Oryctolagus cuniculus: one gene and its partners. The protein of the gene in region 3 interacts with the protein of the main gene of each other region in a pairwise test. Links are inferred from orthologs where the notes say so. Each region holds a gene or a part of one and is shown on either strand. Other genes may lie near its edges. The genes, in order: KPRP, keratin-associated protein 13-1, TNS2, CRKL and SHFL.

The links.
Region 1: the proteins of TNS2 (region 3) and KPRP interact in binary tests that used the Homo sapiens proteins (3 or more experiments, as listed by UniProt). The two-hybrid records come from large-scale screens. The link is inferred for Oryctolagus cuniculus from reciprocal best matches to the Homo sapiens genes TNS2 and KPRP.
Region 2: the proteins of TNS2 (region 3) and keratin-associated protein 13-1 interact in a two-hybrid assay, tested with the Homo sapiens proteins (2 studies listed by BioGRID). The two-hybrid records come from large-scale screens. The link is inferred for Oryctolagus cuniculus from reciprocal best matches to the Homo sapiens genes TNS2 and KRTAP13-1.
Region 4: the proteins of TNS2 (region 3) and CRKL interact in a two-hybrid assay, tested with the Homo sapiens proteins (2 studies listed by BioGRID and IntAct). The link is inferred for Oryctolagus cuniculus from reciprocal best matches to the Homo sapiens genes TNS2 and CRKL.
Region 5: the proteins of TNS2 (region 3) and SHFL interact in binary tests that used the Homo sapiens proteins (3 or more experiments, as listed by UniProt). The link is inferred for Oryctolagus cuniculus from reciprocal best matches to the Homo sapiens genes TNS2 and SHFL.

Annotation. Positions count from the first base shown.
Region 1 is NC_091438.1:45,508,183-45,512,169, reverse strand, and holds the start of KPRP (keratinocyte proline-rich protein), read left to right. Parts: upstream 1-1,187; 5' UTR 1,188-1,304; intron 1,305-2,380; exon of another isoform or gene 2,381-2,489; intron 2,490-2,617; 5' UTR 2,618-2,645; coding exon 2,646-3,987.
Region 2 is NC_091435.1:14,994,598-14,997,339, reverse strand, and holds keratin-associated protein 13-1, read left to right. Parts: upstream 1-1,346; 5' UTR 1,347-1,375; coding exon 1,376-1,927; 3' UTR 1,928-2,228; downstream 2,229-2,742. UniProt on the Homo sapiens protein: In the hair cortex, hair keratin intermediate filaments are embedded in an interfilamentous matrix, consisting of hair keratin-associated proteins (KRTAP), which are essential for the formation of a rigid and resistant hair shaft through their extensive disulfide bond cross-linking with abundant cysteine residues of hair keratins.
Region 3 is NC_091442.1:56,117,569-56,121,083, reverse strand, and holds part of TNS2 (tensin-2), read right to left. Parts: intron 3,476-3,515; coding exon 3,304-3,475; intron 2,875-3,303; coding exon 2,824-2,874; intron 2,571-2,823; coding exon 2,448-2,570; intron 2,351-2,447; coding exon 2,286-2,350; intron 1,600-2,285; coding exon 1,516-1,599; intron 1,176-1,515; coding exon 1,063-1,175; intron 975-1,062; coding exon 914-974; intron 665-913; coding exon 589-664; intron 416-588; coding exon 286-415; intron 200-285; coding exon 134-199; intron 28-133; coding exon 1-27. UniProt on the Homo sapiens protein: Tyrosine-protein phosphatase which regulates cell motility, proliferation and muscle-response to insulin. Phosphatase activity is mediated by binding to phosphatidylinositol-3,4,5-triphosphate (PtdIns(3,4,5)P3) via the SH2 domain.
Region 4 is NC_091452.1:29,687,253-29,690,767, reverse strand, and holds part of CRKL (crk-like protein), read right to left. Parts: intron 438-3,515; coding exon 1-437. UniProt on the Homo sapiens protein: May mediate the transduction of intracellular signals.
Region 5 is NC_091447.1:67,206,272-67,210,496, forward strand, and holds the start of SHFL (shiftless antiviral inhibitor of ribosomal frameshifting protein), read right to left. Parts: upstream 2,806-4,225; 5' UTR 2,522-2,805; coding exon 2,501-2,521; intron 2,005-2,500; coding exon 1,881-2,004; intron 1,752-1,880; coding exon 1,702-1,751; intron 489-1,701; coding exon 450-488; intron 350-449; coding exon 200-349; intron 1-199.

The DNA of each region.
Region 1 (3,987 bases), on a different chromosome or scaffold from region 3:
GGAAGCCATTGTAATCCATAAGCTGTACTTTGGAAATTTATATTCATTAAATAAAAGTTAAAAAACAAACAAACAAACAAACAAAAAAAAAAATAAATGCCCACAAGAGCTGGAAGGTGACATAATCAGATAAAATGATCCAGGCACTAAGGATTATTTCAGTTTCCTCTTAGTTTCCACAAAGAAAAATAAGAGAAGAAAAATAATTTAAGAAATTTACATTTTGAATTCGATCATAGATGTAGTAAAGACTGGTGGTACATTATAAAATGGAAAGTATATACCTTATCTAAATCTGGCAGTTGTTAATCTCATTAATGGAATGTGGGTTTGTCTATGACTATGGATTTAGAAAAAAAAATTTATTTTTGGAATCTTAAGTAAAACATATTTCTAATACTAATGATCAATATAATATTAAACCAATAAAAGATATCCATCTTGATGGTACCTGGCTCACAGGATGCAGTTTATTACTTCTATCCTACACTGTTGCTTCAAAGACTTCTCTGTAGCATCAGCTAAGCACCTGCTATGCAGGCATCAGTGTGCTGAGCTCAGGACTGGTATGGGGCAGGCACCTGTTGATCAGGTATGCTTATGGCTGATGACCAATTTTTACTCTGAGAGGATTTTGGATACTTTAAATATCATTCTTAGCTGTGCAGCTTTATATAAAATAATTGCCTTAATCCTCATAGCAGCTCAGCAAAGGAGACTTAATTATTTCTATTTCATAGTGCAGGAAATTAATAAACAGGTTGGTTGTTGGTTACAGAGATTATGCTGCAGCAAGTAGCTGATGTGGAATGTTGGATTCAGACCTGACTCTGCCTTCTCTTCATTCTGTAGTCACCCTTCTCACAGAGGCAATCTTGGCTGTTTCAGGTTATGGAAGTTTCCCTCTTATAAATATCTAGTGGAAATGTGCGGCAAGGTGGAAGGAAGGGGGTAGAATTATCTTTCAGGAGAGAATACTCCTCTGCCACCCCTTGCCACTGCCAACATCAGTTCTTGTAGGGATGGAAAAGCTGATAGGGTGAAGAGGGGAAAGAGAACAAGACTCTGCTCCTTCATAGCACAGAAGCTTCGACACTGAGGCGAGACACTCCCACACTCAGCAGGTGACTGCAGGGATAGGGTGATATAGGGAGGCAACCAGCTGCTGGAATGCCAACCTGGGTGATGAGCCAGGAAGATACCAAGTGGTTGTCTCATGGCTCAAGCCAGGCCAGAACCCTTTATATAAAGGCAGCCTTCTGCCAACACTCCTTAGCCTGAATGCCTACGTGCCTATGAGAAAGGTGAGTCTAAGAGTTGGGATTGGGATTGGGATGGGGATGAAGCTTGGTAACCTTTTGGGGGACCTGAGAAGCATAACTATGGAGCTTATGAGAAGATCTAGGGCTATGGCATCAGTGTAGTTCACTTTGGTACACTTGACTGCACCCTTGGGTGCTGTTTTCTCTCCCCAGGACCTGGAAAAGGTGCACTAGTAATTTACAGCTTACGAACAGTCAGATGAGGGTAGGAGATTCTCTCCAGGGGAGTATGTTCTGAGATAATCGCTACAGGTGCTTCATTAGAAGCATTTTCAGAATGTGGGAGTTTATCGAGAGGTGTGGTGTTGGATGAACCAATTGTCAAATCAGCCACTGCTGTTGGTTGCTGGGCTGTGGAACACATGGATTTTGATGAGTGCAGAAGAGTGGAGGCTGTCCTGTGTCTCCCTGGTGGAGCATCCCCCAGGCCATGTTTATGATGCTCCTGCTGCCCAGATCTTTAAGAGTGACTGAATGTCAGTCTTGGGATCAAGTACCTTGCGTTTTCTAGGTCACCCCATCTTAGGGAACTGCTGTGCCTCTGACAGCGGCTGGGGAGAGAACATTTCTCAAGGCAGCAGACTGCCACACTTCAAATTATTGACAACTGCAACCTGCCTGAGCTAGTTACCATTTTGATTTCAATTCCTTTCAAGCCTGGTGTGTTTTGTCTGTGCAAGCTTTTGCATATGTGTGGGCATCTATCTTAATGAGTACATGTGAAAAACACTGAATATAGATAACATTTAACGTGAAGTGGGAGCTGCCCAATAATTGATTGCATCCTTAACCTTCTCATGGATGTTTTGAGATATGAGGGCAGATGGTGCCTGAGGGATTGTTCCCACATGCACCTTTTAAAAAATATGTTTGCACAAATGTGTGTGCTTCCAGTATGTGTGTGAGAGGAAATCCAAGCTCCTGTGGGTGTGGAGTCCCCACTTCGGGCTGCAGCCTTGGGAGTCAGGGCTGCTTCTTCCACTTAGGACGTGCACCAGTGTGAATTCTTTTGTCTTCAGTGCCCTCTGGTGCTGGACACTGGTATATCCCCCCTCCAGGGATGGATCCTGGATACCAGCCACCCTGGAAGAGCACAAGCTGGCCCTTTGGTAGACCAAGGGCAGATCTCACGGACAGTCAGGACTGATCACGTGTTTACCTAAATCAGTAAGCGTTCTTGGGTGAAGGTTGAGGAGGGAGGGGAAAAGATCAAGGAAGATGCAGGGTGTCCTCCCCGGGGTTCTGTCCCCTGCTCTCCAACTCTCATCTTCTTTGTCTTGGTCTGCCCACCTCAGATCCCACTCACCTGCCTGCATCAGGACCATGTGCGACCAGCAGCAGATTCAATGTTGCCTGCCACTCCCCCAGTGCTGCGTCAAGGGTTCCTCTTTCTATGCCAACGGCCAGTCCCCCTATGCCAACAGCCAGATGGTGATCCAAGCCCCTTGTGAGATGCAAATTGTGGAGTGCCCCACGCTATGCCCAGTTCAAGTTTCCCAGGCTCCATCCCAGGCTAAGACTACTGAAGTGAAATGCCAGGCTCCCTGCAAGTCTAAGACCACCCAGGTGAAGAGCCAAGCTCCCTGCAAGTCTAAGACCACCCAGGTGAAGGGCCAGGCTCCAGTTGCCTGTGTTCAGTGCCAGGCTCCTTGCCAATCGGAGGTGTCCTATGTGCAATGTGAAGTCCCACACCCTATTCAGACTTGCTATGTAGAATGTGCTCCAGTTTGTTATACAGAAACACGTTACGTGGAGTGCCCAGTCCAGACCTATGTACCCTATGCAGCACCTCAGCCCGTCCACACGTATGTAGAATGTCCCCCAGTGCACCAGGCTCAGGGAAGATTCTCCACCCAGGCCCAGTATCGGGGATCATACAGCAGCTGTGCCCCTCAACGCCAGCCCCAGGCTTCCTACAGCAGCTGCATCCCCCAGCGCCAGTCCCAGGCTTCCTATGGCAGCTGCATTCCCCAGCGCCAGTCCCAGGCTTCCTATGGTAGCTGCAGCCCCCAGCGCCAGTCCCAGGCTTCCTATGGCAGCTGCGCTCCCCAAAGACAGTCAAGGCCTTCGTTTAGCTCCTTTGAACCCCAGTGTCAGAACCAGGGCTACTATGGCAGCTTCACTGGGCAGCGCCGATCTCAGAGTGCCAGCAGGTGCCTCCCTCCTCGCCGGCTGCAGCCTTCTCCTCGGAGCTGTTCCCCACCACGCCGCTCTGGGCCCTGTTACAGCAGCTGCCTGCCATCAAGATGCTCGTCCGGCTCCTACAACTACTGCACCCCACCCCGCCGCTCTGAACCCATCTACGGCAGCCGCTGTCCTCGCGGCCCTCCTCCCAGCTGCTCTCAGAGACGCGGACCCAAGTGCCGCATAGAGATTTCCTCGCCCTGCTGCCCCAGGCAGGTTCCCCCACAGAGGTGCCCTGTGCGGATTCCCCCCATCAGAGGCTGCTCCCAGAGCTGTGCCCCCCAGTCCTCCTGGGGTGCCTCCTGTCCGGAGCTGAGGCCACGTGTAGAGCCGCGTCCACTGCCAAGCGCCTGTCCTCCACGCCGTCTTGAGCAGTGTCCGGAGCCCTCACGTCAGCGATGCCCACGTCCTGCCCCACGTCAGTGTCCACGTCCAGAACCCCTCCCACGTCCTCCAGCACGGCAGTGTTCAGAGCCTTGTT
Region 2 (2,742 bases), on a different chromosome or scaffold from region 3:
TATATGGAGGAAAAATTGGAAGATGAGATGTCCTTGGAAATTTTCAGATATCTTTCAAAATTTTGATGTGAGAGTTTATAGATGTTTATAGGGAGGGTAACCATAGGACATTTTACAAAATAAATGCCAAGAATTAGATCCATTTTGAAAAAAATATTCATTAATTTTCTGTTGCTATAACCAACTGTGTGAAGTAACTGATTTGTGAAGAAAATAGGTTTATTTAACTCACAGTTCTGGAAACCCAGGAGCATGGTACCAGCTTCCGCTTGATTCTGGTAACTGTCTCATGGCATCATGCAGAGTGTGTGTGAGTGACCACACGAGGGGCAGAGAATCAGAGACGGGAAAGGAGCCAGTCTTGCTCTTTTTATAACACTTTACTTTCATGAGAACTAATCAGGGTCCTACAAGAACTTCCAAAGACAGCACCCGCAATGATCTTCCACTAGCACACCCTTATCAACGTTTCCTCCACCTCCCAACTGCTGCACTGGAGATGGAGCTTCCAGCGCAAGAACCCCTGGGGAGCATTCTCAAACCATATTAAACCAGAGAAAACAGTTTTGAAGACTTAAATGAGGTTGGACCATCCATCCCCAGGGTTTGGGCTCAGGAAAATCCTGCCTTTCCCTCTGCTATTGCTCCTTGTTTCCTATCTCATCTAAATCACATCTACTACATTTTTTCCCTATGCTTACATCCATATCATTCTCTTTTTTGTTTTCACATCATTTTTCTGAATAGTAAATTTGTTCTATATGTTTGTGCAAGATGCTGTTCATTCCTGGTCATCTCTCAATTCCTTTGCCTTGGTTTTATGTGGCATATCTAGACTAAACATAGTAAACACTGATGATAAGTAACAGATGGAAATTATATTGGAGGATTTGAAACAACGCTTTGATGGTGAGGGAGTCTTTAAAAGGTTCCTTATTAAGACCAGATTTCTTCCTCTCAGTCAAGGACCAAGAGGGAGATGGCTGCTTTACAGTCCTCACCCTAGGAAGAAAGAATTCTCCAGCCCAAACAGGAGCAGATTTACATGTCATAGCCTGGGAAAAAACAGGGGCTTTCCTGGCTGTGATGGAGTAGACACTAATTACATACAGTCATAGCATTTATAGCATAAGTGTATTTCACTGACACAGAGCTGTAAAAACAAAAGGAGTTCACCCATAAATACAACATGAAGGGTGTTAGTTTGCTGCAATTACAAAGAAGTTTTACTGAGTGACGTATATGCAAATGAGGGAGTCTAACTATGGAAAAGATGACATTGTAAGTAAAGGGCCACACCCATTGCTGAGAGCATATAAATGTCCCAGTGACAAGTGACATCCAAACTCAGAACCTTCTCCCACCTCCAGTCACCATGCCCTACAACTGCTGCTCTGGAAACTCCTTCTCTCAGTCCTTTGGGGGCTACCTGCGCTACCCAAGGTCTTCCTGTGGCTCTTCCTACCCAAACAACTCGTTCTACAGTGCAGGACTCCAATGTCCCAGCACATGTCAGCCGGGCTCCTCTTTGTACAGTGGCTGTCAGGAGCCTGGCTGTGAGCCCACCAGCTGCCAGACTTCCTATGTGGTGTCCAGCCCCTGCCAGACGTCCTGCTACCGCCGGAGGACCTCCACACTCTGCAATCCCTGCAGGACAATTTACACGGGGTCTCAGGGCTTTGGATCCAGCAGCTGCAACTCCCTGGGCTGTGGATCTAGAAGCTCCTATTCCCTGAGCTGTGGACCAAGGAGCTGCCACTCCTCAGGCTGCGGATCCAGTGGTTTCAGACCCCTGGGTTATAGAGTCCATGGCTTTCCTTCACTGGGTTATGGATCTGGGTTCTGCCGCCCATCCTGCTCAGCCTCTAGGACCTGCCAGTCTTCTTGTTTCCAGCCAACCTGTTGGTCTGGATCCGGCGTCTGTTGATCATCTTATTAAGTTTCTAACGCCATTGACCAATGTCTTTAATGCCTCTATTAATAATTGTTATAGTCTTCCTATTTAGCTTCCTATTTTCTGATTATCAGTTTCTCACCCTGTCTCTGGCATCAAATCCTGGCTGACAGACTTCATCTGAAAATCTGTAATTTGTGTACTAACTCAAAATAAAGTCTAAAGTCTTCATTGGAGATAAAATTTATGTTATAGGATAACTACTCATTATTGTTTGAAAAAACAAATTTTTACTCAATAAATGCATTGATTCTGATTTAAATCTATATTAGATTTGTTTCATTATTTATTTGGTTCTAAAATATTAAAGAAATCATTATGAAATTATCAATGTATCTATACAGATTGGTTTTGAAAATCAATGAGGTGAGGGGCCAGCACTGTGGCATAGTGGGTAAAGCTGCCACCTGCAGGGCAGGCATCCCATATGGACGCCGGTTTGAGTCCCAGTTGCTCCACTTCCGATCCAGCTCTCTGCTATGGCCTGGGAAAGCTGGAGAAGATGGCCCAAATCCTTGGGCCCCTGCTCCCATGTGGGAGAGCTGGAAGAATCTCCTGGCTCCTGGCTTAGGATCGGCTCAGCTCCAACCATTGTGGCCATTTGGGGAGTGAACCAGCAGAGGAAGACCTATCTCTCTCTTCCTCTGCCTCTCTGTAACTCTGCCTTTCAAATAAATAAAGAAATCTTTAAAAAAAAATCAATGAGGTGAGTAAACTGACCAAACTTTTGGAGGCCTCAGATATTTTTATTACTCAAACTACAGGTAGGGGTTGACGTTGTGGCACAG
Region 3 (3,515 bases):
CCGAGGGGTCGTTCCGTGGGGTGCTGCCTGTGGAAAGGCCCGCCTGGATGTCTGGGAGCCCGGGAGAGCCAGGCCCCCGCCTCCCGCACGCCCCCCACTCCCATCCCCACCCCGCACTCCCCTCCCCCTTTACCTTTGATCTTCTCGGGGCTGGAGGAGAAGACAAACTCCACGGAGGCTTGGAAGGGGAACCTCTCGTCTGTGGGGAGCAGGGGGTGAGGATCCAGGCCCTGGCCCGCTCCACCCTCTCGCACCTGCCGCGGCTCTGGCCGCCCCTTCACTCACCCGCCCAGGCCTCGTCCAGCTGGTCCTTGGGGAAGCTGAGCCGCGGGCCGTGGATGGTGCAGGTGTGGAACTGGACTCGGAAGACCAGGCTGCGGTCGGTGCCCCGGCCGCTCCTGTGATAGCAAGTGACCTGGGGGAGGGGAGGCCAGGGGTCAGGCGCCCTCTGGCGGCCAGACCGCGGCTTCTGCCCTTCTGCCACCTCCAGGGGACCCGCGCAGCTGGCAGGACTCGCCCCCACCCCCACCCCACCCCCATCCTCAACCGGGGATCCCGGGGGTCTCTGCTTGCTGCTGGGACCCTCACCATGACGTCGCCTTTGAGAAGGAGGGCTGGCTCCAGGCTGATGCAGATCTGCGGAGGCCCAGGGCCTGCAATGTGGCTGCGGACAAGGGAGAAGGCAGAGCCGAGTCAGAGGCAGCAGGGAGCTGGGGAGCTCAGATTCTACCCCGGGCCTCAGCTTTCCCCATCTGTGAAATGGATTCCACGGGGGTATTGCCTTCCAAGTGCAGTGGCTGGAGCTGGAAGCCCAGGTGTCTGGAGAGGCTCTTGGAGCAGGAACCCACTGACAGGGGGCAGCAGAGGCGCTGGCCGTGTAGGAGGCAGGGGGCCTGGGGGGCGGAGCACTCACTAGACTCCCGACGTGTAGACGAGCTGCATGGACTGGTAGATCTTGAGGAAGGGCTGGAAGCCTGGGGGCACACAGGAGGAGGCATGTAAGAGGTCCTGAGTGGAGGGGGTGGGGACTCTTCTCCAGGGGTCCCTCGCGGGCGGACTCACCTGTGCCGGGTTCGAAGGCTGGCAGCATGGGCACCAGCACGTGGTGCAGGAATAGGGGGCTGCTGTTCATCCGGATGGAGCCGGACAGCAGCCCGCTGAAGTAGCTGATATACCTGGGGGGGAGGGTGGGGGACAAAGACCACCTAAGCCCTTCCTCCGGAGGTCCCTGCTGCCACCCCCCCCCCCACCAGGCTCGCCTTTCTCCTTAGCGCATCCCTCCCAGCTTCCAGGGCCCCAGGAAGTTCTGTATCGCCAGCCTGGGTCCCTGTTGCTGGCCTAAAAGTGGTGCACCTGCCTGGCAAGCTGTTAACCAGATCTCTGCCTCTCGCTCCCGCGCCCCTGCCTCCTACCCCACTAGGGTGTAAGCAGCTGCTTGTCCGTGCCGAGCTCCCGTGGCCTTGGCGGCCGTGGTAGGGGCTGCCCCGCCGGCCCATCCCCACCCAGGCTGCTCACCGGCGCTGGGAGGGCTGCAGCTCTGTGGTCACCTTGTCCTCACAGAATTTCCGCATGGTGAGAGTAGCCAGTGCCTGGTCTGCCCTGGGGACAGCGGGGTCGGTGTGGGCTTTTAGGGGCTGCCCTGCATCCTGGCCTCAAGCCCCAGGGGACAGAGGAGAGCTGGGGATGCCCCCACCCAAAGTCTAGAGGCAGCCCAGTGTGGTGGGCAATAGAGCCAGGAGCCCCATGCAACAGTCACTCCGCTGCGCCTCAGGCAGTTGTACCCAGCACTTCAGTCTCCTTGTCTGTAAAATGGGCTGATGAGACCACACCATGGGTTGCATTGTATCCCCCCTCCCCGCCAGAAGATAGGTACCTCAGGATGTGACTTTATTTGGAAATGGGATCATTGCAGACGTAATTAGTTAAGAGGAGATCATTGGAGTCCTTATAAGAAGAGAAGAAACAGAGAGACAGACACACAGGGAGGGGGAGTAGCCTTTGACGGATGCAGGAAGGGTTTCTACCCAGAGTCCCAGAGGGAGCATACCCCTGCAGGCACCTCGGGCTGGGCGCCCAGCCTTGGGCACCGCGAGCCCATCCATCTCTATTGGTCTAAGCTGGCCGGTTGGTGGCCAGCACAGGGCATCTGCTGGGGCCTGGGGTCCCGCACAGGCAAGAAAAGGAAGGTGGAAATGACGCGTTTTGAGTAGTAGGCTCTCCGGATAGAGGTGGGCTCCCGGGCAGAGGCGTTCAGAAGACAGGGCTGGTAGGAGAGGGGAGCTCACCCTGCCGAGATCTTGCTGTAGTGCATGTAGGCAGACACGATGACCCCGAGCTTGCCCTTGCTCCCCTGGGAGAGAGGGACAGGAAGGCTGGGCTGGAGGGCCTGCTGGGGCTCCAGGTGGGGGCAGGGCACCCATCCCTGGGAGCCCCAGGTGGCCGCCCACCTTGCAGTACAGCACGACCACGTGCTGTGCGTCAGCGCTGAGCCAGGTCTCCATGGCTTTGCAGATGGAGCAGAGCTTGTCCAGGGGTGGGGCGTGCAGCTCGGGCCAGCCGAAGTCCTGGACCTGGGGGTGGGGTGGGGTGCAGTGTGTGTGCACACAGAGACGGGGTGGGGTGTGGGGGTACAGTGTGTGCACACGGAGATGGGCGGGTAGGGGTGTGGGAAGGGACCAGGTCGGAGGCTCTTGTGCAGTGCAGCCACCCCTACACTGGTCTGATGGCTGCCGCACCACGTTGTGGGGGTGTGTCCAGTAACAAGCCCAGCGCTGCCCTGGGGCTGGCAGGCCCATGGGGGCGGTGCAGGACGTTTCCGCCTACCTTGGGGTTCAGGCGGGTTAGATCATGCCTTTTCTCTGAGAGGTTGAAGAGCTGAAACAAAAGGGGACACTTTAGACAGCCAGCAGGGCATAGAGCACGGGGGCCTGGGAGCCCGTCCTGGGAGGCAGCAGAGGTGGCCCAAGTCCCTGGGATCCCAGCCACCCACAAGGGAGATGGGGGGGAGGCGGGGGGAGAAGGAGCTACTGGCTCCTGGCTTTAGGGGAGTGAGCAGGTGGATGGAAGATCTCTCTGTCATTCTGCTTTTCAAATAAATAACTAAAATCCTCAAAATAAATTAGTAAATAAATAAATAAAATAAGGTTTTGAAGTCCTGGCCTGGGTGGGTGGGTGTCGGCCCTCCAGGCCCCGCCCCTACCACTTTGGCTCCGCCCTCCGGAGGCCTCGCCTCCGCTGGTTGGACGTCGGTGAGCAGCCTCCTAGCCCTCTCATTGGCTGACCCCGGAAGGCCCCGCCCCTCACCAGGTACTTGTCGCGGTGCTTGGATTGCAGCACGTGGGCCAGCTCGCGCAGGTGGCCCCGGTGTCGCTGCTCGTCCGGCCGCGCAGGAAAGGCGGCGGCCAGTATGCGCTCCGTCACATAGGTGAGGTCCAGGTCCCAGCGCCGCTCCATGAGAGGGTCCAGGCTGAAGCTCCTGGGGGGGAGGGGCGGGGCAGGCGGAGGTGACTGACGTG
Region 4 (3,515 bases), on a different chromosome or scaffold from region 3:
CACAGGGCACTCTTTTCTGGATTGCTTTCGCAAAGACAGGTCCATTCTGTGTGGATGGCAAGGGGTTGATGGCTGCCCCAGGAGTACTGGAAACTGCAGGTAGAGGAGTTGTGGTCTGAGGTTGAGCATACGCATGAGCAGGTTCTGGGATCCCATAGCTATTGGAATTCCTATTTCCGTGCTTTCCGTGTGGCGAGGATCTCACGAGCTTTTCAACATAAGGAACAGGGATCATCCCGACCCGACCATCCTTGTTCCGGGCGCTCCACCACTGTTCTTCAGGCTTCTCTACTATCACCAGGATCTCACCTTTTTTAAAAGGCAGGTCTTCAGCATCATTCCCAGGAAAATCATAGAGAGTCCGTACATATTCCAGATTTTCTTCTGCTGTAGGCAGGTTGGGTGCCGAGACAGATCCCATTTGTGGGCTTGGATACCTTAAGAGAGAAAGAAAATTAGGAGAAAAATCTTACCAGTGTCATCAAACTTTTTTTTTTTTTTTTTAAGATTTTATTCATTTTAGAGGTAGAGTTACAGAGAGAGAGAGAGAGACAGTGAGAAAGGTCTTCCATCCACTGGTTCACTCCCAAATGGCCACAACGGCCAGAACTGGACCAATCTGAAGTCAAGAGCCAGGAGCTTCCTATAGGTCTCCCATGGGGTGCAGGGGCCCCAGCACTTGGGCCATCTTCCACTGCTTTCCCAGGCCACAGCAGAGAGCTGGACCAGAAAAAGAGCAGGCAGGACTAGAACCACAGCCCATATGAGATGCCAGTGCTGCAGGTAAAAACTTAGCCCACTATGCCACAATGCTGGTCCCTATCAAATTTTTTAATAAACCACACTCCTCCATAATGAATTATTTCTCTATATTTATTCTCAGGAGTAAGAAGGTTCTTTCAGATTGTACTTTCTGTAGTCTTTAATGAAAGTCAATATCCTGAGTATGCCTTTTCAAATTACATGTCAAATGTATATACACACCACATCTGCTTTATAAGTTTTTGTTTACATATAGATACCCAATTTTTTTTTTTTTTTTTTTTTTGGACAGAGTTAGTGAGAGAGAGAGAGAAAGAAAGGTCTTCCTTTTTCCGTTGGTTCACCCACCAAGTGGCTGCTATGGTCAGCGCGCTGCGCTGATCCAAAGCCGGGAGCCAGATGCTTCCTCCCAGTCTCCCATGCGGGTGCAGGGCCCAAAGACCTGGGCCATCCTCCACTGCACTCCTGGGCCACAGCAGAGAGCTAGACTGGAAGAGGGGCAACCAGACAGAATCCGGTGCCCCGACCGGGACTAGAACCCAGGGTGCCAGCTGATACCCAATCTTAATTTATTTTTAAAATCTTAAGTTCAGTAGCTGCCTTCCATTGGACTTTGTCACAAATGCCACAAATTCTTTCTCCCAGTCCTAATTTAATGACACATCCTGCACATTTCCCTGGCTACACAGAGAAAAGATGAGAAAGGTCTGCCTCTGGTCCCTCAAAGTACAAAAACCAGATGTCTACCAAAATAAAATTACCACCTGATCATCAAAATGAGCATCAATGAAACTTACACTGCAAAACGCACAGGTCAGAGCCCCCATGTAAGCGTCAGTCTGCTGCCACCACTGCAGCTTTGCAGTGGCTACAGATATATTAATATCTGCCCAACGACATGTAGGATGAACTCCCAGGGTCAGCCACACAAGCACAGTCCTGCTAACACCCACCAGAAACACGAGTCTCTCCTCGCCTGAGACAAGGTTTGAAAAGCTGGAAAGCCACCAAGTGGAAAAAAACGTTTCTTCCCCTTCCCCTTTTCTGAAGCCCAGAATCTACCCTAGGCTGGGGTGCCTCCAGAGTTTGTATCTCACTAAGAGGGGGCTTCACCAAAGCCTGCATCCACTCCAGAAAAACTGCGGCAGCTTTTCTTCCTAAAATCACAGCACAGGTGTGTCTGCACATCACTGGCCTCCACCACCTCCACTGTCACAGCATTCTGTGAGCACAACATAAGGAAGCGCCCCTGGATAGTTCACTGTTTCTTCATGTTTAGCCGTCAATGCCACACACTTTGAGCATATTTTCCCTTTATCACTTTTTTAACTTATGACTCCCAGAACTCAAATAACTAGGTTAAAGAACGTGAACATTTATTATGGCCCTAAATATATACAGCCACATTACTTTTTTTTTTTTTTTTTAAGATTTATTTACTTATTTGAAAGGCAGAGTTACAGAGAGGCAGAGAGAGATTCCCCCATCTGCTGGTTTACTCCCCAAATGAAAGCAACGGCCAGAGCTAGGCTGATCTGAAGCCAGGAGCCAGGAGCTTCTTCCGGTCTCCCATGCAGGTGCAGGGGCCCAAGGATTTGCACGATCTTCTGCTACTTTCCCAGGCCATAGCAGAGAGCTGGACTGGGACCAGTGCCCATATGGGATGCCGGCACCTGAGGCTTAGCCCACTATGCCACACAGCACAGGGGAAAAATAAATCTTAAAACAAAAACAAAAACAAAACCTTGTATCTCTTTTTACTACAACTACTTTCATAAGTCATAATGATTAGGTGATTAGGAGCTTGATTTAAAATTTCAAAGGCCTTGTTACTTATTAACAATTTTATAACCAAGGGCAAACTGCTTAATAGCAGTTTGTCTTAAAAATATCAGGTGTGGGCCGGTGCCGTGGCTCACTAGGCTAATCCTCCGCCTTGCGGCGCCGGCACACCGGGTTCTAGTCCTGGTCGGGGCGCCGGATTCTGTCCCGGTTGCCCCTCTTCCAGGCCAGCTCTCTCCTGTGGCCAGGGAGTGCAGTGGAGGATGGCCCAAGTGCTTGGGCCCTGCACCCCATGGGAGACCAGGAGAAGCACCTGGCTCCTGCCATCGGAACAGCGTGGTGCGCCGGCTGCAGCGCGCCGGCCACGGCGGCCATTGGAGGGTGAACCAATGGCAAAGGAAGACCTTTCTCTCTGTCTCTCTCTCACTGTCCACTCTGCCTGTCAAAAAAAAAAAAAAAAAAAAAAAAAAAAAGCTAGATTTCAAATTGTTGCACTACAATAAACTTATCTCAAACATTATTTTGAGAGAGAAAAAGCTTTCACCTGTTGGCCTACATGCAATACACCCCTCACCTTCCTTCCACATCTCTTGCTTTGCTCATTCCAGTTTTTTTTTTTTTTCCTAAAGATTTATTTATTTGAAAGGTAGAGTTAGAGAGAGGGAGAGAAAGATCTTCCATCCACTGGTTCACTCCCTAAATGGCCCCAACAGTCAGGTCGAGCTTCTTCCAGTCTCCCATATGCGTTCCCAGGCACATTAGTAGGGGGCTGAATTGGAAACTACCTCAGACTGGAACTAACCCCCATATGAGATGCTGGCGCCGCAGCTTTAACCCGCTGAGCCACAGCACCGGCCCCATTCTGTGTGATTCTAAGGGCCAAACCAACATATTCAGTCCCCACCTCTTCCCTCAGTAACAAATCCATCAGGTTACTAAAGCACACCTGGCTGCCATTAGGTTCCCCAAAA
Region 5 (4,225 bases), on a different chromosome or scaffold from region 3:
GCTTTCTCCCAGGGGAACCTGGACGCCACATTTAGGGTTGTGGCTTTGGAGTCAAGTTCAATTCGCAACCAGCGGGGTCGGAGGTCAGAAGTGCAGCTGCAGGTCAGCCGGTGGGATGCGGGTCAAGCTCGGAGGTCAGAGGTCAGGGGTCAGGAGTGGCGTTCAGGACAGAAACCAAGGTCAAGTTTTAGGCGGTCACCTCCTTCCGCTGGGGCACACGGCGCCACCAGACGTGGTCGCAGGAGGAACAGGCGAACTGCCTGTCCACGGCAGGGATTAGGTCATCCTGGGCCCGCTGGAACATGCGCAGGTTGGCCTCCGTCAGCGGCAGGAGGGAGGTGGCCACGGCCTGCGGGACGGGCAGGGTGGGGACAGGGGTCACCGTCCTCTGCCTTGCACACGTCTGCCGCCACCCCCACACGGGTCCCCCTGCCCAGCTGCCAACTCACCTGGATGTCTCGGTCCTGCTTCATGTCCTCTGGGGGGTCCTGCGTGGAGACGCCAGGGGCAGAAACTGGGGCAGGCACTCGGGTCTCCCCTTTACCCGCCTTTGCTGGGGGAGGGGCCTCCCAGAGCTCAGAGCAGGTGCACAGCCAGCAAGGAGCAGGTACATGGCTTCCCTTAGCCATTCCGTTAGCCCCGACAGGTGGGCGCACCTGTTCTCGCCATTGCTCATATGGGGAAACTGAGGCCCAGAGGCAGGGGAGGGCTTGCCCGAGATCATCCTAACGCCCGCAAAAGCCAGGGCTGGGCCAGGCCGAAGCAGGGAGCCTGGAGCTCCATCGGGGTCTCCCATGTGGGCGGTAGGGGCCCAAGCTCTTCAACCATCCCTGTCGCCTCCCAGCGTGCCCATGGCAGGAAGCTGGACCGGAAGAGGCGGAGCCGGACTCCAACCAGGCATTCCGCCTCGCGCTAAACACCAGCTCGCCACCTATTTGAGGCCCCGTCGCTTTCGGCTAGTGCTTGGGGCTCTGGATTTGAACAGACACAGGTTCAAGTCCTGGCTTTGGCACTTCCGGCTGTGAGAACGTGGGCAAACCACTCGTCCCCCCGGGGCCCCTGGAGAAAGCATGACTTCACCACCGTGCCTCAGTACTGGTCTGTAAAATGGGCTGATCAATAATGGGTCCTGGCTCGTGTGGTGATCAAACAAGTCAGTTCCTGGAACCTGGCCCCTCGGGGAAGTGCCGGGTCAATGATTACCCTCTGTGATTATTTCTATCACATGCTTTATGCCTATAAAGATTAGGATGCGCACTTTATCTCCAGGTAGGTGAGATCCAGCCATTCCCACACAAAGCCAGTCATCACTCATTCATTCGTTCAACACAAGGACGCCCTAGCCGCTTCCCCCTTCCCGCCTCTTCTGGGGTCAGTTCCCCCTCTTCTCTCCCAGCCTATGCTACCTGTCACCCCCTCCCCTGCTTTTCCATTCCAGGGCTCACTCCTCCCTGTCAAGGCTTTGCATCACCTCCTCCAGGGAGTCTTCCCTGACTTCCTGGGCTCCCTGGCACCAATGGCGGCGTCCGCTCCGCTCCATGGAACACAATCAGCACTTAATGAGCACCTACTGTTTGCAGGCTCCCTGGCCCAGCCGATGATTGAGGAAGGTGCTGTGTGTGGCCAGCCCTGCTCGCTCCAGAGGGTCCCCCCGGCTCTCCCGCCCGGTACCCCGACCTTGGAGGCCAGGGGACAGGTTACCTGCGCGTCCAGGTCATTACTGAGCTCCTGTCCGTCCTTCTGCTTTACCCCTGGCGGGATAAGACAGGGCCCCTGAGCGGCCTGCGCCGCCCAGACCCTCCCGCGGCTAGACCCTCCCGCGGCTGGGCCCTCCCGCGCCACGCCCCCTCGGCGCCGGCCGGGGACCCCCGCGCGCTCACCGTACACGATGGAGCGACCCACGCCGGTGTGGTCGCTGCCGAATTTCCTCATCAGAGCCCCGGCCTTCTTGGGCGACACCTTCCCATGAAACTTCTCCCGGAGGCGCCGGACGCTCTTCTCCAACTGGGACGGGGGGGGGGGGGGGGGACAGGTGGGCTCCGGTGGGGGGGGGAGGGACGAGCCGCCGCCCCTCCCCCAACTCCAGGTAACATTCCTGGGGCCTGAACTTTAGCCTTGGTTTTGGCCTCCGCCCCCTCCCCCCTTCCCACCATCTCTCCACGACATTTCCTGCACAACCCCCAAGTCCCTACAGGGTCTGGGGGTGGGAGCGGATGGCGGGCGCGGGTCCCAGCCTGCGGGCGGGGCGCACAGGTAAGGCCTGGGTCTGACCCCTGACCCCGCAGCCCCCGCTTCTCCTCGGGGGGAGGCCGCGCTTCGCTCCGGAGGCGGGGGACGTGAGCGGCGCGCTCCTCTCCGAGGGGGCCCGGGCGCTCGCCCTGAGCATGGGATGGGATGCGGATGGGGGTCCCCCAGGAACTGCGGAGCCCCCTCGGCGCCCCCGGGCCCCCCTCGGCGCCTGCCGCGGGCCCCTCGGCTCGCGGCCGTGGCCATCGCCTACCTCCACACCTTCCTGAGACATGGTGGTGGCGCGCAGGTCCCCGCGAGGGTCCGCACTGCGTGGCTCAGCCGCCCTCCTCGCTGGGCGCGCCCGTCGGTCCGGCCGCCGCGCAGGGCAGGGGGCGGGGTCTCGCGGCCGGCTCCGCCCTTCTGCCCGGGCCCGGTGTTTCGCTTTCGGTTCCGAAGTGGGGAACGGGTGCGCTGGCTCCGCCCCGGCTCCGCCTCTGCACTTGCGCCCCAAACCCAGGCGGGCGCGCGGGGTCTGCGCCCTGCGGCGGGGCGCGCGCACCTCGGGCGGGGGAGGCGGCGCGGCCTCTGCAGTCGGTCACATGTCCCCACGCTGCGCGGGGGCCGCGTCTTCACGTCCCCCGTGGGGGCGGGGCCGCCTCCGAAGGCAGCGGCGGGTCCCCGCGCCCCCCACTCCCCGCGTGCGCTCCCACGGACCGGGCGCTTGTTAGGACCTGGGGGGGTTTGTGGGGGGGGGTCCCTCCTCCCCTGCTGTTGAGTTCCTGACAGGCCACTGTGACGTTTCTGATCCTCAGTTTATCGCTCTGTAAAATGGGAATGATCCATAGGTGCTTGTGAAAAACACAGGGTGATGGGCCCCAGCTTTTGGGGGGCGCTTTAGAAATGTGCATTTTATTTTTTAAAAGTTTTATTTATTTGGCTGGCAGAGATAAAGAGAGAGAGTGCATTCCCATTTGCTGGTGGACTCCCTAAATGCCTGGGTCAGGCCGAAGCCAGGAGCAGGCATCTCAATCCGGGTCTCCCACGTGGGTGGCAGGGACCCAAGTGCTTGAGCCACCACCTGCTGCCTCCCAGGGCTGTGCTATAGTGGGAACTGGGACCTGGATCAGAGCCCAGGAGTTCAGCTCATGCCATGCAGGCCTCTCATGTGTCCCGTTAACCCTCTCAAGCCAAATGCTTGCTTTGGAATCTGCATTCTCAATCGGGCGGTTGAGGGGCCCATGGGGCCCCAGCAGAGGGGCCTGGGGAGCCTTTAGCTGGGACCCTCGGCCTGGGGACATCATCTCCTGCTTGGACAGAGCCCCAGAAGTTTGAGGTCATAGCTGGTGAGGATGGAGTCAGGTGAAAGAAGCAACTGCGTTTTCTCAGCCGCCTGCACAGAGCTGCGGACACTTTGGGCCAGTAGCTCTTTGCGATGGGGATCTGTCCCCGGCCCCCATGCCCTAGATGCCACCGGAGTCGTGGCCCTCCTCAGAAGTGGCCTCCGGACACTGCTGGAACACAGGGCGGTGTTGGGCACAGAGGTTTTGCTGCCGCCTGGGACGCTGGCATCCCATCTTCGAGTGCCAGGGTTTGAATCCCAGCTCCCGACTCCAGTGCCCTGCTGATGCGCACCCTGGGAGGCACCAGGAGATGGCAGGTGCACGGGGCTCCTAACACCTCTGGGGGAGACCTGGAGGGAGCTCCTGGCTCCTGGTTTTGGTCTGGTCCAGTGTTGGATGTTGTAGGCATTTGGGGAGGGAACCAGCGCATGGGAGATCTCTGTCTTTCAAATAAATAAAATCAATTATTAAGTTAAAAATATGCCTACCATAGGATTCATCAATCCTACAACAGGCACGCCCCTGTCACCCACGAGGGAGACTCGGATGGAGTTCCCAGCTCTTGGCTTCTGCCTGGCCCAGCCCTGGCTGCTGCAGGTATCTGGGAAGTGAATCAGCAGATGGAAGACCTCTGTAATAATAATTTTTTTTTTTTT